Alligator mississippiensis: one gene and its partners. The protein of the gene in region 1 purifies or fractionates together with the protein of each later gene. This does not show direct contact. Links are inferred from orthologs where the notes say so. Each region holds a gene or a part of one and is shown in the gene's direction. Other genes may lie near its edges. The genes, in order: RBBP7, PHF12, ARID4B and CUL4A.

Region 1 (7,224 bases):
TACACTTCACTCCCTCGTCCAAGTCACTGATGAAGACATTGAAGAGTATCGGTCCAAGGACCGAACCCTGCGGGACCCCACTGCCCACACCCTTCCAGGTTGAGACCGACCCATCCACTACAACTCTCTGGGTACGACCCTCTAGCCAATTCACCACCCACCGGACTGTGCAGTCATCCAAGTCACAGCCTCTTAACTTTTTCACCAGTATGGGGTGGGATACCGTATCGAAGGCCTTCCTGAAGTCTAAGTAAACGACGTCTACCCCTACTCCTGCGCCCAGGTGTTTTGTAACCTGGTCATAAAAAGAGACTAGATTAGTCAGGCATGATCTACCTGCTATGAACCCATGCTGGTTTCCCCTCAGCATAATTTGTCCTGCCGGGCTCTCACAAATGTGAGCCTTGATCATTTTTTCAAAGACTTTGCCAAGGATGGAGGTGAGACTGACTGGCCTATAGTTGCCTGGGTCCTCCTTCTTCCCCTTCTTGAAAATGGGGACATTATTGGCCCTTTTCCAGTCCTCCAGGACCTGGCCCGTGCACCATGAGTGTTCAAATATTTCCGTCAGTGGCTGTGCAATGACGTCAGCCAGTGCCTTCAGTACCCTCGGATGGAGCTCATCTGGGCCTGCAGACTTAAACTCATCCAGTTCCTCCAAGCGCCTCTGCACCATCTCAGGGTCTACGCTTGGTAGTCTGGCACCCTGCTGCTGCCTCTCTACAATCCCAGTGAGAGACTTGTCTTGCCCCTCACTTAGGAACACTGAGGCAAAGAACTCATTGAGTAGTTCAGCCTTGTCCCCCCTGTCCGTCACCAATTGCTTCTGCCCATCTAGTAGGGGTCCTATTCCACCCTCTTGTGGAGGCTGAATAGATTCAGACCCTTTAGCCTCTCTTCGTAGGGCCTGACCTGCTACCCCTTGACCATGTGAGTGGTCCTCCTCTAGACCCTCACAATGCTAGCCATATCCCTCTTGAAGTGTGGCGCCCAGAACTGGATGCAGTACTCCAACTGTGGCCTGGCTAACGCTGCACAGAGGGGAAGGATCACCTTCCTGGACCTGCTTGTGATGCATCTGTAGATGCACAACAAGGTGCAGTTAGCCTTACTGACTGCTTCCTTGCATTGGCAGCTGATGTCCATCCTGGAGTCAACAATGACTCCAAGATCCCTTTCTGCCTCTGTGTTGACAAGAAGGGTGTTCCCCAGCCTATAGGTGTGTTGCTGGTTCCTTCTCCCTAGATGTAGTACCCTGCGTTTATTTCTATCCTGTTCTGATCCACCCACCTCTGTAAACTGTCTAGATCTAGCTGGATTCTGTCCCTCCCATCCAGTGTGAAAACTCTACCACCCCAGGGGAAGGGGAGGCTATCCCCAGTCTTGGGCTCACAACCTTCTGGCTTATGCTTCAGCACACAAGCCCCTAAGCCAAAGAGCCAGGTTGGAAAGCAAGCCTTTCATATTATGGGCTCTGACAATAATATAGTCAAGAAAGTGCCAGTGATTGGAGCATGGGTGTTTCCAAGTAATCTTATATTTGTCACTCTGTCTGAAGATAGTATTTTTCATGAGCAAGTCATGCTCTGCACATTCACTGAGGAGGAGGATACCATTGGAATTGACTTTCTTCCCTCTTTCCCAATGGTACCATTCTAAAATTCAGTGTCACCCAACTCTTGTGTGAAGTTACCCATGAGGATGAACTTGTCTTCCTTGGCAGTGGCAGTCAGGACTGTGTCAAGAGTGCAGTAGAACTGTTCTTTGTTGACGTCTTCATCGTCAGTTGTGGGGGTGTATGCACTGATGCACCAAGTTCACCCAGGGCACCATTTTCCCTAAGGCTGGCTCTGCTGAGATGTAAAAATGAAAAGTGAAATGTAGGTATTGGATAAACTGATGTTTGTTGTTATCACCTTTGTGATTTTTTGGTTTCATATTTGATAAATCTGCCTTAGATTTTCACATTTGCACTAATGTCATAATTCTATGCAGGCATCAGGAGCAGTTTAGCTCTTTTTTTTCATCTATTCATCGCTCTAAATGACTTGAATACTGATGTTGTAGGATCTTTACTTAGTGTACTATTCCATTGGAATGCAGGTTAGTGTCATTGATAACTGGGAATAAGTTTATATATGAAAGGATAATGTGGGCTGATCCTTTACTGTTCTGTGGTGAAGGGAAAGTTTGCTTTAACAGTGGAAGTGGCATCAGAAGGTATTTGCTTTCTTTTTACTTTTTAAAAAGGGAAATCTGTGCTCTACAGTGACTAGAATATGTGGGCTTTGTAGTGATTCTAAAACTGTAGACATGGGGTATGAAATTTACCTTGTGCCCTAGGTCAGATCTGGATTGGAGGGCTTCTGTACAGGCTAGCTCCAGCTTGAGGTACAGGGCAGTGGCAGTGGGACCAGTGCAGACAGTAGCAGGGATGGCAGTGGCTGTGGTAGGACAGGCAAGTGGTAGTGGGACCAGCACCTTCAGAGTAAGCAATCAAGAACTGTGCCAACAGAGCCTTGCTGACCTCCTATCCCTGATGACCACGTCTACTAGGGTGCACAGGGACTCTGGATTCTGCAGCAGGCCATGCCCCTCCACTTCTGGTAGCCCAATGGGCCAGATGAAGTTGCTCCGTAGCCCAGATGCAGCCTGAGAGCTATGTGCTCATCACGTCTTTTGTAGACCAGTCATTTTCTGTTAGTGTTTCCTCCATCCAGTGACTAAAACTGGGGCCTATGCTTTGCTCCTATTGTAGAAGAGCTGGCTATGCAATCAGAAACAGTTAGCAGTAGTTTTGTCTGTGGACTACATCTAATCTATATTGATATCTATAGCTATGGCTATATAACCAGTAGTGGCTCCTTTGTGCCAGAGAACTTGATTTTTTTTCCTTGTCACAAACCAATGATGAATCCCAGATCCAGACACACTGGAACAGGACTGGCCAATTGGCAGCCTGGAGAGGTCAAATTGTGGCCGGCAGGGCTTGTTGGCGTAACTCCACAACCCGGGCAGGGTCACCACAGCTCCTGCCCCCCGGCCTGCTGTCAGATTGAGGTTGTTGGCCACTAAAAACTGGCAAAAGAGGAAAGGCAGCAGGGTTGGTGTGACCCCTGAGTGGCCAAGGTGGGTCATCTGGGCCCAGGGAAGCTCTGCTGCCTGCCTCTGGCCTGCAGGGCCAGAGGAGTTGGGGCACACTCTACTTCTGCGCCGCTGGGGTGTGAGCTGAGCTTGTTCTGGGGGTGGCAAGGCACAGTCTGGCCAACCAGGGGGCTGGGGCAGGTATCCCGGCACTGGGAAGGACTGGGGAGGACGGGCAAGTCCCAGCCCTCTTTTGGTGAGGAGCAAAGTGCCAAGCGTCTGCTGGGCCTGGCAGCAAAGGGGGAAAGCTTGGCAGGAAGGTTTCAAACACCAGAGGGACAAAAAGAGCATCCTGAAGCGCCCCCTCAGAGACAGGCAGCAGCCCCCAGCAATGCTGCCCTGTGGGGGCAGGAGTCCAGGTGACTTAGGGACAAGTAGGCGGGAGCCACGGTGTGATGTGCATTGTCAGGTCTTAAATATTAAATTATCATATTTGCTCAAAAACTATCATACACTGAAAATTATGCAGACACATGCAAACAAGTATGCAGATAAGCCTTTTTTATTTATTTTTTATTGCTCACTGCAACTGGCCAGGGAGTGAGTGAGGTGTGGGTCATGCAAGTTGAAACATGCTTTTATTTCAAGGCAAGTAGTCATGGGGGAGTACCAGCAACACGCCCAGAGGGTTCCCGGTGAGTCGTGACTCGGGTTTTGCATGTTAGTTGCCTCCATTATTGCCTCAAAAAGTACTGTACATTTTGAACACTTTTCCTATTATTGATTGTACATCGTAGAAGGGTTGAAATGACGGTGTAAATTCTCAGACACCCAGCAACAATGGCTGTGCCCAGCACCCCCCGCTAACGGGCGCTGATCTGCCACGTTCACCGTTTACGGCTCCCCCCGCCCTCCACGACAGTGCACTCTACTGCGCATGCGCTTAACGCCCTGTCAGGCGGGAGAAGAGTGGAAGGAGGGCGCGTGCGCAGGCGACGCTCGGTCGCCGGCGGGCAAGTGGGGGTGGGGTTCTTGTGTTCCGCGGAGGCCGGCCGCAGGAAGCGGACGCAAGCGCAGGCGGCGTCCTGGCGTCGAGGCGGGGCGGTGGGTGCTGCGCATGCGCGCGGGTGGGAAGGCGGGAGCCGAGTTTGGAGCGGGGCGTCTTGAGCGCGCCTGCGCAGCGGCTGGCGCGGGGCGCGAGATCGGCCCCGCCTCCACCCCTCGCGCGATGGCGACCCGGGAGGGTAAGTGGGGAGGTGGGGTGGGGGAAGGGGGAGGGCAGGACAGGGGGTCTCGAGCTTGAGGGAGCCATTGGCCGGGACCTGATGCGGCGGTTGGGCCGGCAGTGGCGGAGGAGCCGGCGGAGGAGCGGGTGATCGGTGAGGAGTACCGCGTGTGGAAGAAGAACACGCCCTTCCTCTACGACCTGGTCATGACCCACGCGTTGGAGTGGCCCAGCCTCACCGTGCAGTGGCTGCCTGACGTCACCAGGTGAGGCGGGGCCCCTTCCCCTGCCCCCGGGCACGCGAGGCGGGGCCTCAGTTAACGGTCCTGCCCCTGAGCGTTCTAGGGCCGTTAACGGCCCCGCCTCGGAACGTTCCAATGGGGGCCCCTCGGCCCTGCCCTGTTCCACGTGGGGCTGTTTCTACCTGTGCAGGAGGCAAGAGGCACCCCATGGCAGCTGTGCTGTGACACGGATGCTGAAGCCTGCTGGCCTCTTGTCCTGCTGAGGGGGCTTAGACCCCTTGCAGGTGTCCATCAAGAAGTTGGGGTGCTCCTGAGAGCTCCCAGGAGCCATAGCTGCCCCATGACTGCCACACATGGGCAGCCTCCCTTACTCTGAGGAGGGGAGAGGAAGGAAAGGGATGGCAGCCCAGCTGATGAGGCAGGGGTGGATCTTGGAGCAGCTGATGGGGCAAGGGAAGGGTGTGGGGCTCATGTTGCCATGCATCTGCCAAAGCAGTTGCCCTCCCCTGCTGTGATAGAGGATATTCATCTCTGTGCTGTTTTCTCTAACGGTTGTACATTTTGATGTTCCAAGTAGCATCTTGAAATAAATACCTACTGGGTGTCAGAACAAAGTCAAAGGCCGGGGGGGGGGGGGGGGGGGGTGTGTGTGTGTGTGTGTGTGTGTGTGTGTAGCTCGTGTTTTACAGTACAGCTGGGGTGCAGTCATTGGAGAATTGGCGCGGGTTTGTTTTTCCTCTAAAATCATAGTTTGTGTAAATGATGGCTTTACATCTATTGTTATTTTAGCATGTGAAAGTATTTGGGCTTGCAAGGACTTGAGAACAGGAGGCTGGGAAGGAGAGAGAAAGGTTAACTAAGACCCTTGTGTGAAGTGCTTCTGCTTACCTCGCATATTAATGGCTTGACTTTTTTAAAATAGCTAGTTTTAATTGTATAGCTAGTGTCACAATATGTAAATCACTTAAAACCAACATGGTCCCTTTTGAGTTTCATCTGCCATGATGGGAGGCTTATTCATACAGGGGTGAGGAGAGCATTGGATGCAGTATAGCAATGGGATTGTGAACTGTTAGGGTTTTTTTTCCTCCAGAAGCTTTGTTTGGTCTGTACTGGGCCTTTGCTTTCTTGAACACAGAAATTGCTTTGAGTCTTAAGGCGCTACCTTCTTTCACAGTTTATTAACTGTCATTTGCTACTGAAGAAACAATAGTCTAGAAGTCTCCTGATTCCATTTTTAAGTTACAGCATAAAATTGTGGGCATGTTTTTTTGGTTGTTGGTAGATAATGCACGTTCTGCTGTAATTTCTAACTTATTCCCCACAACAGTTTCCTAGTAATAGACCATATTTAAACATTCAATATTGTTTTCTAAGCTACTCATGTTTTTGGTTTTTGTTTGGAAAATCTTTACATGAGAACAAAAATCTCATGTCCTGCCCTTCTCAGGTACTAATGTCAAAATGCCTTTATTTAATCTTTTTGTGCAAATAAAAAGTCATAATTCTGCTGTTCACATAGTAATGAAAATCATTATAAAATTATTTTGGGATTGTCACTCCAATTTTGGCAAAGATTTATCTGTCATGTCTACAGTGCTGTGAACCTCTGCAGTTCAGCTTAAGCTCTTATACTAGTATTCCTAATATGGCAGAAAAAAAGTGCTCTTTGAATTAATCTCTGGTCTCCTAGACCAATTGGGTGTCACGGGCAAACTTTGTAGCAAAAAAAATAAGTTAAAAAAAAACAAACCTGAACTCTTTGACTATTTTGTATGACTATTGTTTTATCGAGCAGGCCAGAAGGAAAAGACCATGCCCTTCACTGGTTAGTGTTGGGAACACACACCTCTGATGAACAGAACCATTTGGTGGTTGCAAGAGTCCAGATTCCTAATGATGATCAGTTTGATGTCTCTCAATATGATAGTGAGAAGGGAGGTAGGTTTTGCAGGCATTTTCAGTGTGTATTCTTCTAGCCACAGTGGTAAATAATGCATATCTTATTGAATTACATTCTTACTTGAAATATTTTTTTTTAATTAAATGTCTGGTTTTAACATACGTGTATACTGCAACTTGTTTACTAGCATACACTATACAGAGTAGTTGAGTGCTGAAAAATCTTACTGTAAATGGCTTTCGTGTCTAGTATTAAGTTAAACAATTCATGTCTAGCATGAATCTAAACAAAGGGTACGTTTTGCAGAAATGTCTTGCAAGACCTAAGTATAAATTATATTGATAACAAGGTGTAGTAGCTTGAGAATTATTTAAATAAGGTTTTTTCACTGGGTCTATCATCTGGTAGGCTTACCTGGTACACAGCTAGCTTGGGCAAGAGATTTCCCCTTTTTCAGGGGAAAATTACTGCCTTTAATATTCCTTTCTCTTATTACATTCAGCTGAAAAGTTTCATTACTTTCAAGAGGTAGATGTTTTAAAGAGTCTGTTGTGCTTGGTGTGCTAATATGAGCCTCATGCAAGATTAAACATCATGAAAACCTAGAGAACATGGGTTTAGTATATCAAAATAATTTATGATGTGATTAATGAACTTTTGTTATGAAAAACATCTAGAATTTGGCGGCTTTGGATCAGTAACAGGCAAAATTGAAACTGAAATAAAGATTAACCATGAAGGTGAAGTAAATCGTGCTCGCTACATGCCCC
Region 2 (7,486 bases), on another chromosome or scaffold:
GCCAGCAGGTGATGGGGTTTCGGGGGGGCTGAGCCGACGGCTGTCCCGGGAGCTGGGGGAAGGCCCCCCAGGCAGGGTCCCCCGGGCCCTGCTGAGCTTCAGCCAACCACTGCCCTCACTGGTCACGCTGGGCCTCCGTGCCCGTGTCTCTCCCCAGCAGTCGCCAAGGCCATGCCTGCGGGGGCTGCGCTGGAGAGCACCAACGTCGCTGTCGCTGTTCTCCTGCCCGTGGTCGCAGTGGCATTGCTCCTGGGTGGCATTTGCCTCTACTTCTCCAGGTGAGCATCCGGCTGCCAGCTCAGCCGAGCACTGTCTGGGCCCACTGCGCCCTGCACCTGGATCTGCCAGGGCTTGGTCCTGCCCCATGGGCACAACCCAGCCCCAGCCTGCCCCGGGCCCATCAGTCCCACGCTGCCCCCCCCCCCCCCGGGGCCATGCCTCTCCGCAGGCTCCAGGGGAAGCCGTCTCTGCAGCTGCCGCTCTCGGGGTCACACCCCTACGACCACATCACCGTGGAGTCGGCCTTTGACAACCCCACCTACGAGACCGGAGTAAGTGCTGAGTCCCGCCCGGGGCTGGGGCCATGGGGGCAGGGAGCCCTGGGCTGGGGGGCGGTGGGGGCCAGGGGGCAGCGGGGGGCACGCCGATGCCTGGGGAGGTGGGCAGAGGCAGCAGCAGTCTCGCTGCAGCTGCAGGGGCTGGGGAGGACCCCGTACCCGCGGCGCCCCACAGCCGCGGCACGTGTCCAACCCCCTGCAGTCTGTCTTTTTCCCAGGAGATGAGGGAATATGAGGTCTCCATCTAGGCCGAGGCCGCGCTGAGCCGGAGCTGGAGCTGGAGCAGCAGCAGCAGGAGGAGGAGGCACCTGCCGCAACACTGGAGCAGCTGTGGCCCGCGCGCTGCCCTGGGAGGGGATGTCATGCTGCCCCAGGGGACCGTCGTGCGCCGGGAGCAGGCCAGCATTGTCCGGCCGAGCCAGCCCCTTGGGTCCTGCCTCTCCCCCCGCAGGGGCTGGCCCCAGGGCAGCTGCTCCTGGCTGGTGCCGGAGCCGTGGGCTTCGTGGCAGCCAGAACCAGCCCTGCCCGTTCCCAGCCAGGCCTGCGTGAGTCTGCTCCCTCTGGCCACATGGGCAGGTGGTGCCCGGGCCCGGGGGAGCTGAGCGCGCTGCCTGAGAGCTGGCTCTTCACAGCACTGCCCTGGCTGGCTGCCGGGCACGGGCAGCACAGCCCGAGGGCACTTGCATAGCCTGGCCCAGGGCTGGGCAGGGCCAGGCTGGTGCTCTGCAGAGCCGTGCTGCCCGTGTCCTGGCTGTCAGAGCCACGGGGACCAGGCATGCGTGGCATGTCCAGCCCCGGCCTGGGGAGCAGGGTGAAGGGGCAGAGGCTGAACACAGCGGTCTGCCAGCTGCAGGCCTGTGCCGGCTCTGAACCAGGCTCCCTCCAGCCGGCAGAGTCCCGCCCTGGGCAGGGTCTCCCCTCTCATCCCCTGCTCCCAATGTGCTGGTTGCGTAGGGGGCAGGATGGATGGGGGAGAAGGGCAGAGCCCAGGGGCCAGGCCAGGCCTCCTGCATCTGCTCTGTAATGGAGGGGCACTGCTTGCTGGGTGCTGGCACTGCCCCGTCCTGCCCGCCGTGTGTTTCCCTCGCTGCCCATGCCCCCTGCCTGCCACCATCACCACCTCCCTGCCCATGCCCCCCCCCCATGAGCATGCTGCATTCGCTGACCTGGTGCCCGGCCACACACGTCCCTTGCCCGGCACAGCCGCCTCCTCCCCGGGCACCATCCTGACCCCACAGGCAGCCTCCTCCAGGCCCCTCAGAGACCCCCATCCCTGTAGGCAGCAGCGAGTAGACCCGGGCCTTTCTGCCCCCTGCTTGTCCCCCCGGGGCCTGAACAAGGTGCAGGGGGGGGGGGCAGACACCGGACGCCATGCTCCCTGCGGCCAGCCTGGCATCCCAGCCCCTAGCTCAGCTCTGCACGTGCGACCTCTGCCCGGAGACCAGCCTGGCACCACATGCACCCCAGGGTCCAGCAGGCCCCGGCTGCATCTCTCAGCTGCGGGCACAGGAGGGGTGGCACACGGAGCCGGCCTGGGGCGTTGGGGTGCTGGAGATGACTCGCCAGCCCCTGCCCTGTGACCAGCTCCGGGCCGTTCTCTGTGAGAAACCCAGCTGGACCGGGCAGCCGGGCAAGGCCAAGGACGATCCCTACAGGACCATTGCTTCCTGCTTCCACTGCCAGCGCCTGTTCCCGCTCAGCCCCAGGGAGACAGGCTCCAGGGCCCTTCCCCAGCACCGTAGGGCAAGGGGCTCCCCAGGGCTAGCCACTGACCCCGTCCCGGCCTCCCTGGCCTGCCAAGCCCTGGTCCAGGCAGGAAGCTTTTTACATGTCACGTGTACAATACGCCCCTCCGCCGCGCCGCCCGTTTTGGAGACAGCCCCATCGTTTCTTTCAGTTGGTTCATTAATAAACCGGTGTTTTAGAAGAAGCTGCTCAGTCGTGGTGCAGGCGTCCTGGGGGGTGGCCGGGCCTGCAGTCACACGGGGGAATGGGGGGGCACTGTCCTGACAAGGGTTAGGGGTGCTGAGGAAGCCCGGGGCTCAGCCAGGCCACCAGGACAGTTCAGGGGGCTGCGCCCCGGGTCACGGCTGGATGGAGATGGCCGAGGGGCAGGCTACTGGGAGACAGGCGGACAAGACCATGGCTTTGGGATCTGCACCAGCGGTAAGTGTCCCGGATGTCAGTCCGGCCGCAGCCTGGGACGAAGGAGGGATGCCCCAGAGCCCTGCGCTGGCTGGACAACAAGAGCCTTGCACCTGCGTCTCCGCTGCCCGGCAGCACTGGCCGTGAGGGCAGCCCACACATCGTGGTGGGAGATGGGAAGGTACCGCACCCCTCAGGATCAGAGCCAGGCGTCTGCTGCCCCGAAACTCCATGCCAGGGCGCCCCAAGTGCAGGGCCGTGGGAAGGCAGGACCCTGAAGCAGCACGTCACCTGCCCCAGTGGCCCTGGACCCCAGCCCAGCAGCCCCAGGCCACGAGCCACGACACTCAGGCTCCCTTTGGCCCATGCGCCCCTGCCTTAGGGGACCGCGTGGAGCCGCAGCATCGCTCATGCCCAGCACGAGCTGTCGGGGTGTTGCACGGGGCAGCACGGAGCAGGGCTGCATGGAGGCATCGGGGCGGCTGCTAGAGGGCTCCCGCCGGCCCCTGGAAAATTGATTTGAGCTAACCCGAGCTGACAGCACGATGCAGCCAGAGCCCCCGGCAGCGAAATCCCATCTGCAGAAGACAGCGCTCGCTGCGTGGCTCCATTGCAAGGACTGAGGGCAGGAACAAAGCCAGCGGAGAGGGATCTCGTGCATGCACGCACGCACGCCAGGCCCAGCTCGCCGTGACGCTCATGGGGGAGCTCAGCCCGACTTCACGGTGAAGGCAGCCAACGTCAAGGCCGCAGCCCAGCTGGCTGCCGCGGGACCAGCCGCGTGGCGTCACAGCTGGGGGCAGGACAGGCAGGGCTCGGTCCTGTCCCGACCCCTGCAAGCCCTGGGGTCGCGGCAGCTCCTCCTTGGGGTGCGGAGGCTCCTTGTGGGGGGCACAGACATCCAGAGGAGCGGGGCCACATCCAGCAGCTGCTCTGGGAGGGGTGAGATGGGTCCCAGCCCAGGTCCTGCAGGAGTCTCCATGCACAAAGCTGCCCCAGGAGAGGCCAGGCCTGGCTGCCCCAGGGGACCCACAGGGAGAGCCGGGCCCTCTTCAGGCTGCAGCAGGCGCGGGCCAAGCCCAGGGCACCAGCCCCCGCCACCGCTCCCCCCCTTGGCCTGGCGTGACTCCTGCCCTGCAGGGCTGCCCGGTGACAGGAGCTTCAGGGGAAAACACTGGTGCTCGTGACTTTGGGGATTTGGGGCCTGATCCAGCAGCAGAGGGCTGGGGAGGGGCTGAGCCGAGAGGGGCCCCTGAGGAGGGGGCAGCCCCAGCCAGGCAAGCAGGAAGGGGTGCCAGCTGCTACAGGCACGAATCCTGCCCCCACTTCACCATGCACAGTCCCCCTCTGCACCCAGCCTGCCCCCCAGCTTTGTGCACCCCCATGCACCCCCACGTGGCAGCAGCAGGTCTCCCCCTGCCGGCCGCGCCGCGCACCACCACCACCCCTCCTCCAGCCCAGCCCAGCCCAGCCCAGCCCAGCCGCGCCTGCGCAGCACTCATCCCTCCGCGCGCCTGCGCAACAAGACCCTTCCCCTCCCTCCCCTTTCTTCCCTCCCCCTCCGCGCCGTGCGCCTGCGCCGCCCGCCCCGCGCGTCCGGTCAGGGCCGGCCGAGCCTCGGCGCGCCTGCGCCCCCCCCCGCCCCGCGCCTGCGCAGTGCCGCCGCGCCGCCAGCTGGCGCCTGCGCCCGGACCCGCCGCCACTGCGCCTGCGCGCTGGGGGGAGTTGGGGGGGGGGCGCGGCGGCGCTGCGCCTGCGCGGGGGCGGCGGCGGGGCCTGAGGCGCGGCGGTGCGTGTGAGGCGCGGCAGCCCCCCCCTCCCCCGCCATGGCCGGCCCGGCCCCCCCCGCCGCCCGCCGCCGCCCCCGGCCCGTGGGCTAGGCCGGCCCGGCCCCATGTGGGAGAAGATGGAGGCCAAGACCGTGGTGTACGACCTGGACACGTCGGGCGGGCTCATGGAGGTGAGGGGCCGCGGCGGCAAGATGGCGGCGGCGGCGGGTGGCGGGGGGCGGCGGGCCTGATCCCGAGCCTGATCCCGGCCGCCTGTCTTTCTCTCCCCGCGCAGCAAATCCAGGCCCTGCTGGCGCCGCCGCGCAGCGAGGACGGCGACAAGCGGAGCCGCCGGCCCGAGCGGGAGCCGCGCCGCAGCGGCCGCGCCACCAACCACGACAGCTGCGACAGCTGCAAGGAGGGCGGCGACCTGCTGTGCTGCGACCACTGCCCCGCCGCCTTCCACCTGCAGTGCTGGTAAGGCCCAGCCCGGGCCCCCGCTGCCCGCTCACCCCAACATGGCGTGTTTTCGTGCTCAGCGCCATTTTGCCTGCCCCGGGACAGGGGGGTGCCCACCCCCCCTCGCGGACATGTTCCTCGCGGGGCCGGCGTCGCGGCGGCAGCACCCGGCCTTTTTGTCCCGTCCGTGCGGGGCGCGCTGGGCTTCGGCGACGCGCGCAGCGTCAGCAAGGAGATGTTCGGGGCAGGGGTGCCGTCTGGACTCCACGATCCCTTCCGGTTCTGCGATTTGTGGCTGTCAGGATGTCGCACGTCGGACTGGGAAGCTTTTGTGCCGGCTTAGCCTCGCGTGTGTGCGTGCGCTGGGGGTAGAACCGCCGTTGCCTCGTCAGCGAGGAGGAGGAGGAGGGACGGGGGAGGGGGGGGAGCGTGCTTTTATGTTCAGTTTCCCAAAATAGCCTCACGCATACCTTTTTTCAGCGGTTGTTTGCGGGCTTTTGAAGTCCGGTTCTTCGAGGAGTTTGTTGGCGGGAGTGGGGGGAAGCGTCGCGGCTCCGCTTCTCAATGAAAACCGAGCGTGGATGAATCGACCGACTGTGCCCTGCCTTGTCGTAACAGTCGACGTGTCTCTTTGAGTCGGGGAGAGATGCGCAAGCTGTGGTGTTTAACGCGGTGAAGGTTTCTTGGTTTTAATCGGCGAGTGAGAAACGATGCTCGCTTTATGCGCCTTGGAGGCATCTGGGGAGTGGTTTTTGGGGGCGGTTTTTTCCCCCAACAACTGGATGAATCGTCTTGACTAGTCAGTTCGGTCATGAAAACAGGGCTTGATCCTGTCAACTTCTACTTGCTAAAATAGTAGAGGAGGCAGCGGCTCGCGCGTGCAGGGGATTGCTGGGGTTGGGTGTACGGACAGATCAGCAGCAGTGCAAATCGCGGTGTGAGAGAGAAGCATCCTGTTTTCTACAGCTACAACATGAACATCCTCTGAGGTGCCAGGTCCACTGAGCAGGCCTCTTCCTTAGCTGGAGTAAAACCCCAGGCTGTGCTGTGCCCTGCCGTTGTTCCCAGACTTGTGTGCCCCCCTCCCCAGATGTATTCGGATGAGACGAGTTGCTTGTAGGATGACAGTATTCTTTTCTTGGTCATCTTTGGTTTTTGTTTTCATCTCCTACATCTTGTTTAAAGTAAACTTCCTCTTTGGGTAGAAACTCCAGGCACAGATGCAGCACTTGCAGTTTCCCTGTTTGTTTTTATTTATTACCTGCAACTAACAATGAACATACCTTTAAACACATACCACTGCAATGGAGTGGAGCAATTCAGAATTGATCGACTAAGAACTCTAGATGTTAGCCTGGCATTATCAACCTGTTTTCTCATCCCTACAGAGGAGAAATTTAACACGAGATTGGAGCTCATGGCTACTGCGCAGAAGATGTCTGAAGCCATTGGCAGCTTTTGGTCTGTATAATTTGTGAGGTGGGGATAAGGAAAATGAGTCAGAGGAAGGAAGTGACTTGCCCAAGGTCACTCAGGGACCTGGCAGCAGAACTGGGAGACAAACCTAGCTTTTTCCTAGGCCCACGCCGCCTCCAAGAATAAGTAAGCAGTGCTTGTGTAAGTCCTTAGTGAGCTGAGTTCCTTGACTACATAAATACATGTGTGTTCAAATTCACGGTGGTCTTTTCCTTTTTGAAAAAGGGAAACAAATGAACAATAATTCCCCCCACCTCAGTATATTGATACTCTTATTTCCATACCCCATTTCAGTCTGGTGAGGGAGGCCTTACTCTCCTTTGTTCATACTTGCCCAATAATGTGTTAGACTCACCTACTTCAGTTAGCAAATCTTCAGGCAGATATTGTGGTTCCAGTTAGGATTGTTGGATGTTGACAGGGTCACTCCAGGGAAGGCGGCTGCTTCTGAAAATTCTTTTATCTTGTTCTGAAACCTATGGACTGTGTCACATCATAGTTATATATATATATATATATTTTTTTTAAGTGTTGAATTGTTCTGGGCCTAGCTAGTTTATTTCCTTCTCAGAAAAATGGTGTTATGATAGGATTGTCACTCTCACAGTGGCTCTGTGTGGCAGGAACAGAATTTGATTAATTTATTATAAATTTGGCCAATCTTAAAATGCTATTCCACAACGATTAGCCTGTGACAAACAAACAAAACATGTATTCTTCTTTTTAAGCACACCCTTAGAATTCGTTGATGTATTCGTTGATGTATTGATTCTGCGATGAACTGGGATATGGTGTAATGTTCTTTAGAGAAGTCATGTTGCATTTTCAGTAGTCTAGCTATGATACCACTTCTGATGTCTATGTCCACTGTTCCTCAAGATGAAATTTCCCGTTGCAAACTCTTTTCAACTTTTGCTGGCTTGTTTATTTTTATTCAAAGAGACTGTATTGCTTCAGCTTTTAAAAGTCTAGTTTTGGTTACAAAGTTTGCATATTGATAGGGTTTTGCCTGCTAATGGGATCATATGAGTGCAAATTATTGACCAGCTCTAGAAACAATGCGGTCAGTCTCTGCTCGGT
Region 3 (7,202 bases), about 170 Mb from region 1:
GGTGGTGTGGGGCCTTCAGCAGTAAGGAGCTTCCCCACCCAGCCCTGCTCTACCCTGCTGCACTGCGTCCCACCTGCTGGGCTGGAGGCCCCCAGGCACAGGGCAGCAGGATGGGCAGCTCGCACCCACTCCTTCACATACACAGATCTGGGGGCCTGTGTCCCGCATGTCCTTCCCGGGTGTGCATGTAGTGGTGGGGAGTCAGTCAGCCCTACAGTCAGACGAGCCACCCAGGGTTCTGTCCTGCTCCCTGCCCGGGCCCTGTAGCTGTGCATTCGGGCCCCAGGCCTCAAGCCCCACACACTGCCCAGCTGGGCAGTAGCTCCAGCCCCGGTCCTGCCCAACTCCCTCCCTATGGGGGCCTCAATTCCTGCCCCACCTCCACAGACTTTACCTTCCTGAGCTGCTTTCCAGGCTGCCTGGTGACCATGCGCGTGTGTGAGTGTGCACATGGCGCCCCGTGCCTGCCCTACTCCTGTTCCTTCCAGCCCCTTACAGGCCACAACTTTGCTAGCCTGCAGCAAGCACTTTTCAAAAAAAGTGGAAAATCTGCATTTTTTTCCATTTTTACATGGCAGATGGAAAACCCAATCCCTAGTGATTAGTCACCATTGTGTTTGTCCGCATTTTCTTGTTTTATACTGTTCTGCACAGTGCCAAACCCACCAGAACTCCTTACCTGTATAAACAAAGCTATGTACAATGGTATTTATTTGTGCTGTTTTCCCCCCAGAGATTGGCTTTATTCTACATGAACTATTACCATATTTCAGAGGAATACTTCCTATGAATATGCTATCACCTGGCCTGAAGCCGACACACAAGCCTTGGCTGACCCTCTGGAAATATTCGGTGAGCTAGGTACAGTTGAATTTGACCACAAAAAATATTCTTGTGCATGACTAAGCAACTCTAGTTGAAGAGAGCAATAGAGAGATCAAAAGTTCCAGCAGAAGATACAGGTCAAGCTCTGAACAGACTATTTCTGTTCAAGAGCTAGACCAGGTCTTCAGTGCTTGCACTTCCTTTCACCAGAGATGTAGTAGATAGCAATAGTCTCTTTTGAATGCAGTATTGAGGGAGAGGAAGAACATTTGCATTAAGTGGACAGATCAGAAAAACAAGGTACCAGCCCAAGAAATGCTATGCACAGTAAGGTTATGACACAGAAAATGCCGTGGCTTTCAATTAAAGAAAATCTACTCAGAACTCAATGCAACTCGAGACTGGATAGACATGTAAAATTATGTGAATTGATATGCATTTAAGTCTATGATAACAAATTTGTTAAATAGAACAGAACAGCAACAAAAAAGACTTGCCTGGTAGTTGAAGTAAGTACTTGTAAGGCTCTAAAAGAAGTCTTTTAGATGTTTGTTCCGCCTGCTCCATTTCGGTGTTAAAAAAGAAAAACAGTGCTTCACCCTGTTAAAAGGTTAAGAGTTATTGTTACAAATTCAGATTAGAGAAATTAAAGAGAGAGACAAAAAAAAAAAAAAAAAAATCAAAGTGAGAGTCAAATCATTAGCACCTGTTTAGAAAGAAGGAGAAAAAATAAGCAGGCTTCAGATACTCAGACCACATGTAAATGTTCCTTTAAAGGCAGCATTTTCAATTATCACCAGCTTTGCAATACAAAAGACTAATGGCTTTGGCATTATTAATAAAGACATAAGGAAGTCTCAAACTTTTAAAAACTGAAACCTACTTTTGAAAAGTCAAAGTTATTTTAAATTAAGGCTTATTTTTTGAGTCTACTTTAGCTTCTGTGACTTTGAAGTACCAACATTATAAATATCTCAGATAACATTAAAAGACAGCAACATGTGTGTCAAGCACCTATTTTTCATCTGGGAATTTTTTCCTGAAGTTTTTCTACTGGACAAAAGATCAGTGTCCCTTCCCACCCCCTCCTTTTTAAGAGACATTTTTTAAATAAAAAGGGAAATTATAGGGGCTTCTTGAGCTTTTTGCTTCAGTTTTTATTCTTTTCCATTTCTCTCTTTGTGCCATGTCCTGTCCTTTTAGGTTTAGCAATTTTGCTTTTTTCCCCCCTTTCTCTTCTATATCATACTCTTGGATGCGTGTGTCAGGTTCTCTTGCTGTCATTTCAGACTCAGCTTCCCTGGATAGTTCATTCTAGGACTTGTTTCCCTCAGTTCATGCCCTCCTCTCCATTTCCAGGCTGTAAGCATTTCTGTGATTTTCAGACTCCTTTCTAGAATTCATTTTCCCTCTTCTTACCTCTAACCTTTGTTGCTGCACTGCAGATAGAGCAGGTCAAAACTCACCACTTGCTTCTGTCATGGCAAGACTGGACCTGCAGTGGTGGCACGAAGTTCCGTGCCACTCCAACAGCAGTTCTTACCTGCTGGCAAGCACCTTGCAAGAAGCCATTTCCTCTGCCCTAGTAAATGCTGTCTAGTTGCTACCTTACCAGTAAAGCAGGATTATTTCTAGAGTACATTAAGAAACATCAGTACCATATATGTTTTGAGAACAGGCACATCCAGGAGACCAGTTAAAAGAAGTCTACATTGTAGAGTAGATTTAAATTCATCTTTAAGTGATTTGATAATTGAAAACTGTTTATTGCAACTGTTATTAAACTACTGTAAGTTAATATTAAAACAAGCATTAAACAACTGGAAGTTAGTTAATATCAAAAGTAGTGTTAACTCCTTAAAACCCTCCCCGCAAAAAACACAACACAAAACATATGACAGCAAGTGGGAATGGGGGAGAGAGAGAAAGAGAGAGCGTGACACCAGGGCTTGGCAAGGTTTTCCAGGCACAAAGGAGGTCTCATGCTTAGGCTAAGCTGTGGAAGAGCACGGGAGAAGTGCCTGCCTGTCCAGTTACATATAACACAGGCAATGTCAGGAGTGCCAAAGCCCCCACTCTGCAGAATGGATCCAGTAGTTGGCGACTTGCAGGCCATGGACTGCCGAACCTGGGTGCATACGGTCTTGCGCTGCCAAAATGGAATTTCGTGGGACTTTGAGAAATAAGGTACCGATCAAAGACAAGGAAGGCTACCGCAATCTCCCCCCAAAATAAGGATACAAATAGATTTAAAAAAAATAAAGTCAGAACAAAGATAACATTGGAAAAGGGACCACCGTGCTGGGACACCCTTTCGCAGCCGTTAGGCCACCTGAACCCCACAAAGAGGGCAAGCTAACGCAAGTGAAACCGGGAGGTTTCACCTGGTGGTTCAGAGCCCGAGAAGCCCCCTGACAACATCCCCCTCTAGAAGTAGGTGCCTCTTCCTTCTCGGGGCCAAGTTGGCAAGCGCTCCCCACAGCAAGCGACACCACAAGGCTGCCAGTCCTTACTCAAGGAGGGGGGATGGGGGGGTGGGTTGAAGGGCGCTCCAGCTTGCTAGCATTTGGCAAAGAGGTCTGGCCAGAGCTCCGGCCAGAGCTCCATAAACATTTCCCCAGCCTGGCCCCATTGCCACCCCCCTTTCCCCAGCCTGGCCCCTCACTCCCAACCCGCCACCCCCACGATGGGGATCCGCTGATGCTGGAACTCCACTGGGGGTCACGACCCAGTTTGGGAACTGCTGCTTGACGGCGACGCGGGCCTGACGAGTGAGATAGCAGGGGCGGGAGAGCCGCCATCTATGTCCCAGCCGGCCACCAGGCACCAACCAACACCTACCGCGCGCCCGGCCACTCCGTGCAGAACGAGACTAGCCCCCAAGTACCGCCCCGCACCCGGCGCCGCCGGACTTCAACGCGAGGAGAGGTGCCGAACCCCGGCTCCGCGGGGGGCGGAGGAGTAGGGAAGGGAAACCAGGCTCCACCCCCTTCCGCCTTCACCGCAGCAGCTGCCGCCACCATCGCCCGTTGGGGGAAAATGCGCCACCAGAGCCGCAGCGCGCAGGCGCAGGCGCGGGGCCCGCCCCCACTCCGAGCGGCGGGGCCTCGCGCGGTGCACCCTGGGCGGTGTAGTCCGTCCGCCCCGGCCCCGGCGCTCGGAGCGGCGGGGGAAGAACCGCAGCTCCCGCGAGCCTCCGCGGCACCGAGTCGGTGTTTCCATAGAACTGGGGGAAAACTGACGTCAACCTTTCCGAAGCGGCGACCAATGGCGGCGGAGGGGAGGCGGGCCCTGGCGGAGCGCGGGCCAATTGGCGGGGCGAGAGGGCGGGGCCCGCTCCGCCCGTCAGGCAGGCAGTTGGGGAGAGGGGGGAGGGGCGCTCGAGGCTTGCAGCGGAGCGTCGCGGAGTAGGCAGCGTCGTTGCGTCCGGCCGGGAGCATCGGCCCGTGTGTCGCAGAGAGCCAGCGGGGCCGGAGCCTAGGGGCGGCTGCGCTCCCTGTGCTTCCGCCCGGGCCAGGGGAGCTGCGGGCGGCCGGCGCCGAACAAAGGTAACCGGGGGGCCGGGAGCGGCCGGGGGTGGGGGAGGGGCGGGGGTTGTTTTTCTTCTCATCACCGGACTGCGGCGGGAGTTGTCCCCCCTCCCCTTTCCCGCTGCCCCTTGCGGGGAGCAATGCTGGGGCCGCCCCCCGTGCCCGGCGGGGGAGCGGGGCTCGGCTCGGCGGCGGCGGGTTGTTGTTGTGGCAAGTTTCTCCTCTGACAGAAATGGCGTCAGCGGGCAAGGGGGGCGCCGGGCGCGCGGGTGGGCCCCCTCCCCGCGCAGCAGCTGCCCGGTGCGGTGTGGCGGCGGCTTGAGCGCTTTTGTTTTGCGTTGCAGGTCCGACCTGGGCCGCGCTCGGGGGTTTTACCGCAGCCTGAGCTCATCATGAAGGTAACGCGGGGGCCGGGGGGAGGTGGGGGAGGCGGCATCCGCGTCCCCTGGTGTCCGCCCGGGCCGGGGACAATGCGGGTCCTGGCGGGAGGGGAGCGAGGACATGGCGGCCTGGGTTGCGCTGCGGAGGGAGGCGGTGGCGGCCGCAGCATCGCAGGCCCCGCTGTGGGGGGGGGCGGTGGATGAATGCCCCGCGTCCCGCTGTATGAGCCGCCCCGATTGGGGGCGGGGGGCGCGGGATACTCCGCAGTGGGGCCGGGCTGGGAGGCGCAGCAGCCGGATCATTTTTCAGGCAGCTTTTTTAGTTTCCTTTTCAGACCATTTGCCAGGCACTTTTTCTCCTTCTCCTGGCATTTGTTAGACCCTCGGTCCTCAGGCTGGCCAGGCTTCAAGGGCTGCTTAACCTCTGTCCGGATCTGGTTTTTGGTAATGAATCTGGCTTCTGAGTCCTAGTTTAACAAGTGCGATTTAGCAGGGTTTCCCCTTCTTCCTCCCCTGAGCCTCGGTGATGGCAGGGCCTCCTTTGAAAGGCTGTTATTGGCCTTGCTGTGTGGCTTAGAACATGCAATCAGGATCATGCCCCTATTGTGCTGCAATGGATCTGGCTTCCCAGCTTTCTAAAAAGCTGTCGAACGCACTTGCTGCATAACTGCAGGAAAAAGAGCCGTGGCAGACCGCTTGGCATTCACGCGCAACATATCAGCTTTGTTATTCAGCCCTGAGCGCAGTCGCCTGCTTCTAAAGAGTCATGTCCTTTCTGGGTTCTGGACAGCTCTTGTCTGTGCAGAAGCAAAATGAGTGCGGTGACATTGTGTTTGTGAAGTGCTGGAAATGGTAGACGGCATATACAGCTTCAATAACTAGGTTTAGTTAGTGATGCTAAGCACAGCAGTTAGTCTTGTCTGATTAGTTAAAGGTTCAGCACATTTCTCCTGGTGACTAATGAAAAAAGAACCTTCAAATGTACACTTGGAACTGTGCTTTCCTATGTTGTTTGGGTTTTTTTTGTGTGTGTATATTTTTTTTAACTAAGCTGAACTGATAAGTTCTGAGGTCTTGCACCAAAATGCTTATTGGATAAATTGGTTGCTTTAAGTAAGAAAAGCAATAGTCAGACTTCTGCAGTGTGATATGCAAGTTCCCAAACTGTGGTCTGTGGAGTGTTGGATCAGAACACAATGCTTGTTCGAATTGGGTTACTGAAATGGATTGAGACAAATGGAGAATTAAATTTAGAGCAGGAGGAGACAATATAGTGAGGTCTTTTTCTCAGAAGAAAAATAATTTATTTTAAAGATAGCTATATATACACACCTACTTTTTTAATGTTACTTTTTCCACATAAATGCTGCAGTTACCTTAGAGATTGGTGCTCAGATAGAGTGGTTATTGGAGTCATGTAAATGTGTAGATCTGCAATTGCTGGAGTTAAGGAAATCTAATTCTGAGTTGGAGGGTAAAGTGTGCTCTATAGTAGAGTGAGAAACCTCTCTTCTACCTCAGCTGAATACAGAGCAGATTATTACAACTTAAATATCTCTCTGTTTTATACATCCATAAAGTCTGTTTATAGATCCATATTTTTTTTTAAAACCTGCATGTTTCCTTACCCTTTAGTAAGATTTATACTACTATTGTTAAAGGAGGTTTCATTTTTTTTTTATCAAGATGGATGCTGCTAATGTTATTGAATACTGAATTTGACTCATTTGAAAATACACTCTGATTTGTTTCTGCTGATTCCTAAACTTCTAGATGTTTGGGATGAACAAAAAAACGGAGCCTAGTTTCTCTGGAAAATTTAAATTCAGACTTAAATTTGTGATTTAATCTGGGAGCTGCTAGTTGCACTGAAATTTTTTACATTTCCAGCATGAAAATGTTAAAAGCTTAAATCTTAAAAAGGATTTAAGATTTTACATCATCCACTGAATGATGCAAAATTATAAACAGCCATACAAGACACAGCTTTTAAGTTTGTAAGATTGCAGTGGGAGGGAAGTAAAAGAAGAGAATTTTCAGGTAAACAATTTTGTCTGTCTGCCCATTTCACTGTAACTGGATGGCTGATAAAAGAGAAGATATGACTTTTACATGACTTTTTTTTGTTTGTAAACAACCAGAAGTGTGTGATTCTGGGCACCTTATTATTTAAAGTATCAAGCACCAAGAGCTTATAATGAGTCCTATAATGTGGTACCTATTGCAGGGCTGGGGGCTTAAGTTGTCATTTTATACCTTAGTAGTTCTTCCTTTGGGTGCAGGGATAGTGTGTTGTACCGATTGGTGGATTAGAGGGAGGATGTGAGGTGTTCCAGGTTTTGTTCTGAGCTGTGCCATTGATTATTTATGTGACTCTTTTGAACATGTCCATTACATTTGCTGTACCTCGTTTTTCTCATCTGTGAAAAGAAGAAGGTTGGATTTTTACACTTCTGTGTAAAGGACT
Region 4 (7,234 bases), about 30 Mb from region 1:
GGGCCACAGGCAGGTGGGGAGTGGCATCCAGGAGCAGAACATGCAGCTGACGCCAAGGCCAGGGCTTGGATTAGGATCACAGCGCAGTGGTAGTATGGGGCCAGGGCTTGGGGCAGAGTCATGGTCCATCCTCACGACATGCAGAGGCATGTAGGGCGTGGAGCACAGCTCCAGCCCTGCAGTGTTACCACCTTCCAATCCCAGCTCCAGCTGCCCATCCCGCTCCCAGATCCTGCCCCCCACCCACCCACGGCACCATCCCACCTGCCTGGCCAAGCACACCCTGCCCTGCACCCATGGATCCCAGACTACTCTCACTGGGCAGCAACTGTGTGGGGCCAGCTCCAGGGCAGAGCCACTGAGGGAGTTCTGGTGAGCTGGGGTATGAGGGGACGTTAAACCAGTCCTCAACAGATCACCAATACTCTCTCAGTGGCTCTGGCCCAAATAACTACCCACCCCTATGGTAAAGTATTGGGGAAGAAGGGGAAGAAGCATGTCACGGAGAAAGCTGAAGAGTTGAAAATGTGAGAAGGGACAGAAAAACACAAAACCAGAAAGAGCCACTGCTTTGGATCATTAAAAAGATATTTTTCAGGGAAGAAGGCAAGGTAAAATGAGACAAGGCAGGTGGGAAAAAAAGGAAGAGAGAAAAACATAGGCTGGGGACATGTATCTTACAATCTACATTTCACTGTATTCTTCTAGAAACCATTGTATATTTTTTAGGTTATTATGTAGCGAGGAAAAGAATGATGAATGCATCTTATTGCTAATGGGATACAGGGCAATGTTCTTCTGGCCACATATCTGGCTAACTGCAGTTTTAAAATTTACACAGTGACCCACAAAAGGAAAGGTTTTACAGACTATTAATAAAGATACTTTAAATATTCCTAAGGAACTGTAGTGAGGAGCTCACACAAATGAAGTCTATCTGATAGTTAAATGTTTTATAAATGAAATTGTTGTACTTTTCTTCTGAACAGTCTTGGTTTCTCACTTTTAAATTCTGTAGGGCTTTACATAACAGTAGACAACTTTTTCCCCCCAGATTACATCCTAGCTACATTCTCCTTTCTCAGGTATGAGAGGTTTTTTTTGTAGGTTTGTGCCTTTTTAATTTTTTGTGCTTATTTATTATCCTTGCCGTTCCTCTCTGTGGACATTACTTCATCTAACATGGATTTCCTATTTGCATCAAGAAATCATATCCAAATGAGAAAAATCTCATATCCATTAAGAGCCTCTCCAAAGTCGATGAAAATGTACTCCCCCACACAAAGAATATTGCAGGATTTGGGACTGCGATTTGGCAAGGTAACGAATTTCCTTACCTGAAGTCTAGGGTTTGCAACATGAGGATGCTTAAATGATACTAGTTCTGCACAAAAAAGTCCATCTCTGGTATCAATGGCCTCTTGTACCTAAATAAGACAGGTAAAAGTAAAAAAAATAGAAAAAAAAGAAAACAACTGCAAGGAATGACACAAAATTATGGGCTACGGTAAACACACTGGTGGGAAGGGATCAAATCCAGACGGACCTGAACAGGTTGGAAAATTGGGCAGAAAAGAATAGGATGCAGTTCAACAAAGACAAGTGCAAAGTGCTGCATCTAGGGAGAAGGAATCATCAACACACCTATAGGGTAGGGGAGGACATTCGCAGCAGCACAGCAGCAGAAAGGGATCTCGGAGTCATTGTTGACTCCAAGATGAACATGAGCCTTCGGTGTGACGAAGTAAACAGTAAAGCTAACCACGCTCTTATCATGCATTAGCAGGTGCATCATGAACATGTCCAGGGAGGTGATATTTCCCCTCTACACGACACTGGTCAGACCACAGCTGGAGTACTGTGTCCAGTTTTGGGCACCGCACTTCAAGAGGGATGTGGATAACCCTGAGAGGGTCCAGAGGAGGGCCACTCTTATGGTTAGGGGCCTGTAGGTAAGGCCCGATGAGGAGACTGAGGGACCTGAATCTCTTCAGCCGCTGCAAGAGAAGGCTGAGAGGTGATCATGTGGCCGTTTACAAATTCACCAGCTGGGCGGGGGGCAGCAAGAAACAGGAGATGCTCTGTTTACCAGGGCACCCACCCCCTGGAATAACTCGGAACAACGGCCACAAACTGACAGAAAGCAGAATTAGGTTGGACATTAGGAAGAATTTCTTCACAGTAAGTGTTGCCAGAATCTGGAATGGGCTTCCAAGGGAGGTGGTGCTCTCCTCTACCTTGAGGGTCTTTAAGAGGAGACTGGACAAGCACCTGGCTAGAGTCATATGACCCCAGCACTCTTTCCTGCCCAGGGCAGGGGGTCGGACTCTATGATCTATTGAAGTCCCTACTAACCCTAACAACTATGAATAAGTTCTAGACTTAGCCACCTTTTCCCACATATCAAATAAAGCCACTTTCCTGCAGATGCATATACATTCTTGTCAATGACTTTTCAAAAATTAGTTTTTCATGCATTACTTCCAAATAACTTAAGTCCAGAAAATACATATTGAAATTCTGTGAATGATGTGGATGACCAACACTGTCACCACCTTTTTTCTCCTTGCTTACAAAGATCAAAGTAAACCAGAGATCTTACAAAACAATGTTATATCATCATTGTCTTTGGATGATAGGTGTACAAAGTTTCTAAAATGTCTTTAACAATTTCACTTACACTTCCAAGAATAAAGATACACTATTAATTTTCATTATATTATTTATTTTCCTGAAATGGAGGATATTTTAAGTGCAGGGAATCATGTCTCTTAAATGTATCTGAATGTTATTAATGTTTAACAATACAAATTAAATATAGAAGCTTCAGAATACAAAAGCATGTTGGGGGGGGGGGGTCTGATCCAGCCCTGTGCTGTTCATGTGGCCCACGGACTACTCCTGTGTACATCTGTGGCCCATGAGACCAGGCAAATTTGACACCCCTGCATTAATACATCCACCACCCCTCAGGAAGACTTCAAAGGGGCTCCATATGTACATGTGTGTACTGGGTGTATGCATGTGCATGTGTTTGCATGCACGTGTGCACATATTGGGTGTGTGTGGGTGCATGTATGTGCAGGTGTGTATACTGCATGTGTATGTGCGCATGCATGCGTGTATAGTGGGTATCTGAGTTGCTGGTTGTAGCCACGTTGATCTAAGGACATAGACGAGCAAGGTTCTTCGAGTAGATGTGATATCTTTTATTAGACCAACTGAGTAGCTGGAAAAAAGTTCTTTGCAAGCTTTCAGGCACAGTCAGTCTTAGTCGGACATAGGGAGCCTCTGCTGGTCTAAGACTCTAAGGAATGTAGTGGGCATATGCGTGCATATATACTGGGTATGGTGTGCATGTATGTGTGTGTGTAGTGGGTATATGCATGTGCATACTGGGGATGCGTGTGTGCATGTATGTATTGGGTGTGCAGATGTGTGTGTAGTGGGTGTATGCATGTGCACATGCGTGTACACTGGGTATGTGCATACGTGTGTGTTGGGTGGGTGTATACGGGGTGCCCGAGCAGACATGCGGGACAGGGAGGACGAATGCCCGCCGGCCGCCCACCTACCTGCTGCAGGTACTGGTTGATGGTGATGTGCGCCATGCGCCGGGCTGGAGAGGCCGCCCCGTGAGACGCCGGCTCCTCCCAGCTCCGCCGCGCACCCCCAGCTCCCAGGACACAACGAAAGCCCACCCCCTTCACGTGACTTCCACCCTCATCCCTCTTCCTTCCCCTGGTGCGCCCCGTACTCCGTCACGTGTGGGTGGGGCAAGGAGGGGGCGGGGCCAAACAATGCTGGCGCTTACTCCAGCCGAGCGGCCCACCTCCCCGCGCTGACAGGCCAGTCGCGGGAGCCACGTGATCTACGCCAGGCCCACCTGGCTACAGGAGTTAGCTCCGCCCCCCGCCCCTGCTTCTCTTTCGTTGAAAGGGCAGCGCTGGCTCCCCGCCCCCCCCCTTCCTTTACATCCGCGGGAGGCGGGGCTTGTTGCTCCACGCGCTGGGGCCGGGGGCGGGGCTTCCTTAGGGCCATGGGGGCGGGGCCCGGGAACACGGGGGTCTCCAGCTGTGCTACAGGTCCCCGAGCCCAGCCCCCCGCCCGTAGAAGTACAACGCTCACAAACATCTGCACCACATCTGGGGACACGTCCGTTGCCCCCCAGCGCGAGCTAGCCGTTGTGGGAGGCAGGGCTCGGCCGCCATCTTGCGGGCGGGGCGGTAGCGGGGGGCGGGCCGGGGCCGGCGGAGATGGCCGACGAGCCGCGCAAGAAGCCGCACTTGACGGCGCTGGTGGGCCACACCAATGGCCTCACTAAGGCTGTGGCGCTGGCAGGGGGTCGCGTCGGCCCGGGGGGGGGCGCTGTCGCCGCCGCCGCCTCCAAGAAGCTGGTGATCAAGAACTTCCGAGGTGGGTGCGGGGCGGCCCCCTGCCCTCGCCCCCGCGGGGACCCCGGGGAGCCGTGAGCCCAGCCCCGGCCGGGGTCTCCCCTCTGATAGGGGTCTCCCCCCCTCTCCCCTTCCCCCCGCGCCTCGGGGCTGCCGCCTTCCCGGGGCCCCGCCGAGGAGGCCCCTGCCCTCTGCACTGTTTGTCAGCGCGCTGCCAAGCTTCAGTGTGCGACCATCGCATCGGGAGCAAAACACTGTGGTGCTTGCTGGAAAAATCAGCGTGCAAATAAGTTATTTTTTTCCAGACTTTATAGTGCGGGCTGTAGCTCTCTTGTGGGGGAGCGAGGCAGGGCATCCAAGCTGAAGCATTTCTGTATTTCAAGGCAAGTGGACATAAGCAGGGATCCTGGTTTTCTCTGATTGAAAAAAATATATATCCCCAATTTAGGTTTAAGAAAAGGAACCCAGAATCCACATTTTCTATGATTCAAATGAAACACCACTATATCTATCCATCTGTCTCTCTCTCTATCTATCTATAGCAGGGGTGGGCAATTATATCGGACAGAGGGCCGCTTACTGAGTTCTGGCAAGCCATCGAGGGCTGCATGGCAGGCAGCCAGGGGCAGATAACTATTGGTTTTCTAAATGTTTAGGGGCCCCACGGGCTAAATAAAATGACCTGGAGGGTCGCATTTGGCCCGGAGGCCGCATTTGGCCCACCCCTGATCTATAGATATATCTCTATCTGTAGACATATCTCTATCCATCTACGGAGATAGATAGAGATATATCTATAGATATAGATAGATAAATGATTTCACATTTTTCCATGATTAAAATGAACCACCACTAATAAATATATATTTATAGATAGATAGATATGTTATTGATGTTGTATATATATATATTAGTAGTGGTTCATTTTAATCATGGAAAAGTGTGTATTTGGGGTTCCTTTTATTAAACTGAAAATTAGGGATTTTATCCAAGAAAACCAGGATCCCCGGTCATAAGAAGGTGCTGACAACCAACCCAAAAGTCAGTTAAGACGCTGCGTTTTGTGGGCTAAGATCAAGCGTAGTCACTGCACTGGTCTGTTACCCAGACCAAGATGGATTTAAATGGCATTGTGTAGTGGAGGATGCACCCCTGTCCAATGCACTGCAGGCAGAATGTCCTACAAGTTTTAATTAGCTTCCCAGGGCCCAGCTTCCAGTGGGAGGATCTTGCCTACATGCTGACTTTATGGAAATGGGGGATTCCTCCCTACCTTGCTCCTGTGGCTGTTGGCTAAAGGCAGGTGAGACTTGGGGGCATCTGAACTCCAAGCCCTCTGGGTTTGGACCTGCATCTAGGATGCCTGCCAGTGGATTTGGGAGTATCTGAAGCCCGTTGTAGCCCCACAGATGGTGTTTGAACAGTTGAGTTTCTCTCAATGGAGAGGATTCAGAACTGACTTGGCTGATTTGTCCTGAAATATGAAAAATTTTCCAGAATTAAAAAAAAAAGCCAGTTAAGACTCCCTGAGAGACTTGGGTTTTGCATATTCTGCATCAATTAGCTGCCTCAAAAAATTATACATTTTGAACACTCTTACCATTGTTGACTGTACATTGTACAAGCATTGAAATTATAGCACAAATATGATAATTATTGTACACCTGACAACACTGCAGCTTGTTCTGCAGCAGAAGTGGTGTGTGTGTGTGTGGAGCTTTGGGGGGGTCCCTTGTTTCAAGGCTCTACAGAAAGGTGTAAACTCAAAGCTCGCTGCTAATGCAGGCAGCATTGGTTGGGCGCTGCTCTAACTCATTATGTTCAGAGTATTTCTCAGTGGAGCTGCATTCAAAGAAAGTGGCAGCAGATGGGGCCCTGTGTGTGTGTCCTGGCCCTACACCCTGGACTTCAAAGGATGGAGGAGGCTCTCACTCTGCCAGCGACTTTGGGCAGACCCTCCCCTTCCACTGGATGGAGTCCTGTGGAAGGAGGTGGAGGGTTCACCCACATGTCCTTCTTCATCAGTCCTTGCTTAAAAAGGTGCTTTGGTTAAGAGCATATTCATGGCTTAGTTTGGGGAAGATGCTGTTAGGTTAGGTAGGGAGATTCTAATAGTGATGTAGTGTTAAATTTTGCTTTCAAGGCAAACCACGTGTCTTGCAGTACAGCACTTTGTGCACAGAAGCTTGTGTAACATCTGTCCCAGCTGTACTGTTGGTCCAGTAAAAGATACCACAAAAAAACAACCCTCGCTTCTTGCATATTTCCCAAACTGGCACAGCTAAAACAACACTCCAGTGCGATGGCTTCTTTTCCCTCGGGAAGTTGACATAGGCTCTCACTCCACAAGCTACTTCACACATACCATCCCTTTCAGATGGATGGAGTCCTGTTGAAGAAGGTGGAGGGTCTGCCCAAATTGAGATGCTTAACCAAATGGAGATATTCTCTCACAAACATGGACAGTGTGTTAAAAAGTCCAAGTTGCGTTGAGGTGCTGTGATGGCCCAGGAAATATGTGAGAGGAAAGTGTTTATGTGGGCAGTATCTTTTATTGGCTCAACTAACTACATCGGGTCAGCAACCCTCGGCACGTGTGCTGAGTACGGCATGTGAGGCCATTTTGCTCGGGGACGCCACCACCGGCCTGGGCTCTAGGCAGCTGCTGCTAGCCACGAAGCCTGGGCTGCTCCCAGCAGGCAGCTGGGCGGCTGCAAGCCCTGCCGTGGTTGGCAGCAGCTACCCAGAGCCTGGGCTGGCTGCAGCCGGGAGCCTGCAAACATCTGCTCCGGGCTCTGGCATTAGCTCCGTACCAGTGGGTGCATGCGTGCCTTGGAGCA

What was found.
Region 2: the proteins of RBBP7 (region 1) and PHF12 purify together in Homo sapiens (affinity purification with mass spectrometry; 5 studies listed by BioGRID and IntAct, counting the BioPlex papers as one, with this or other methods). This does not show direct contact. The link is inferred for Alligator mississippiensis from reciprocal best matches to the Homo sapiens genes RBBP7 and PHF12.
Region 3: the proteins of RBBP7 (region 1) and ARID4B purify together in Homo sapiens (affinity purification with mass spectrometry; 3 studies listed by BioGRID and IntAct, counting the BioPlex papers as one, with this or other methods). This does not show direct contact. The link is inferred for Alligator mississippiensis from reciprocal best matches to the Homo sapiens genes RBBP7 and ARID4B.
Region 4: the proteins of RBBP7 (region 1) and CUL4A purify together in Homo sapiens (affinity purification with western blotting; 4 studies listed by BioGRID). This does not show direct contact. The link is inferred for Alligator mississippiensis from reciprocal best matches to the Homo sapiens genes RBBP7 and CUL4A.

What each region holds. Positions count from the first base shown.
Region 1 is NC_081824.1:321,628,900-321,636,123, forward strand, and holds the start of RBBP7 (histone-binding protein RBBP7), read left to right. Parts: upstream 1-4,212; 5' UTR 4,213-4,312; coding exon 4,313-4,328; intron 4,329-4,430; coding exon 4,431-4,575; intron 4,576-6,349; coding exon 6,350-6,492; intron 6,493-7,131; coding exon 7,132-7,224. UniProt on the Homo sapiens protein: Core histone-binding subunit that may target chromatin remodeling factors, histone acetyltransferases and histone deacetylases to their histone substrates in a manner that is regulated by nucleosomal DNA.
Region 2 is NC_081837.1:1,260,817-1,268,302, reverse strand, and holds the start of PHF12 (PHD finger protein 12), read left to right. Parts: upstream 1-4,483; 5' UTR 4,484-4,596; coding exon 4,597-4,662; intron 4,663-4,766; coding exon 4,767-4,948; intron 4,949-7,486. Other genes in the region: SEZ6 (seizure protein 6 homolog), read left to right, coding at 158-278, 449-551, 760-792.
Region 3 is NC_081824.1:153,085,652-153,092,853, reverse strand, and holds the start of ARID4B (AT-rich interactive domain-containing protein 4B), read left to right. Parts: upstream 1-4,198; 5' UTR 4,199-4,373; intron 4,374-4,699; 5' UTR 4,700-4,747; coding exon 4,748-4,753; intron 4,754-7,202. Other genes in the region: GGPS1 (geranylgeranyl pyrophosphate synthase), read right to left, coding at 1,323-1,425, 3,723-3,848. UniProt on the Homo sapiens protein: Acts as a transcriptional repressor. May function in the assembly and/or enzymatic activity of the Sin3A corepressor complex or in mediating interactions between the complex and other regulatory complexes.
Region 4 is NC_081824.1:351,845,694-351,852,927, reverse strand, and holds the start of CUL4A (cullin-4A), read left to right. Parts: upstream 1-4,228; 5' UTR 4,229-4,256; coding exon 4,257-4,416; intron 4,417-7,234. Other genes in the region: PCID2 (PCI domain-containing protein 2), read right to left, coding at 1,338-1,427, 3,576-3,611. UniProt on the Homo sapiens protein: Core component of multiple cullin-RING-based E3 ubiquitin-protein ligase complexes which mediate the ubiquitination of target proteins. As a scaffold protein may contribute to catalysis through positioning of the substrate and the ubiquitin-conjugating enzyme.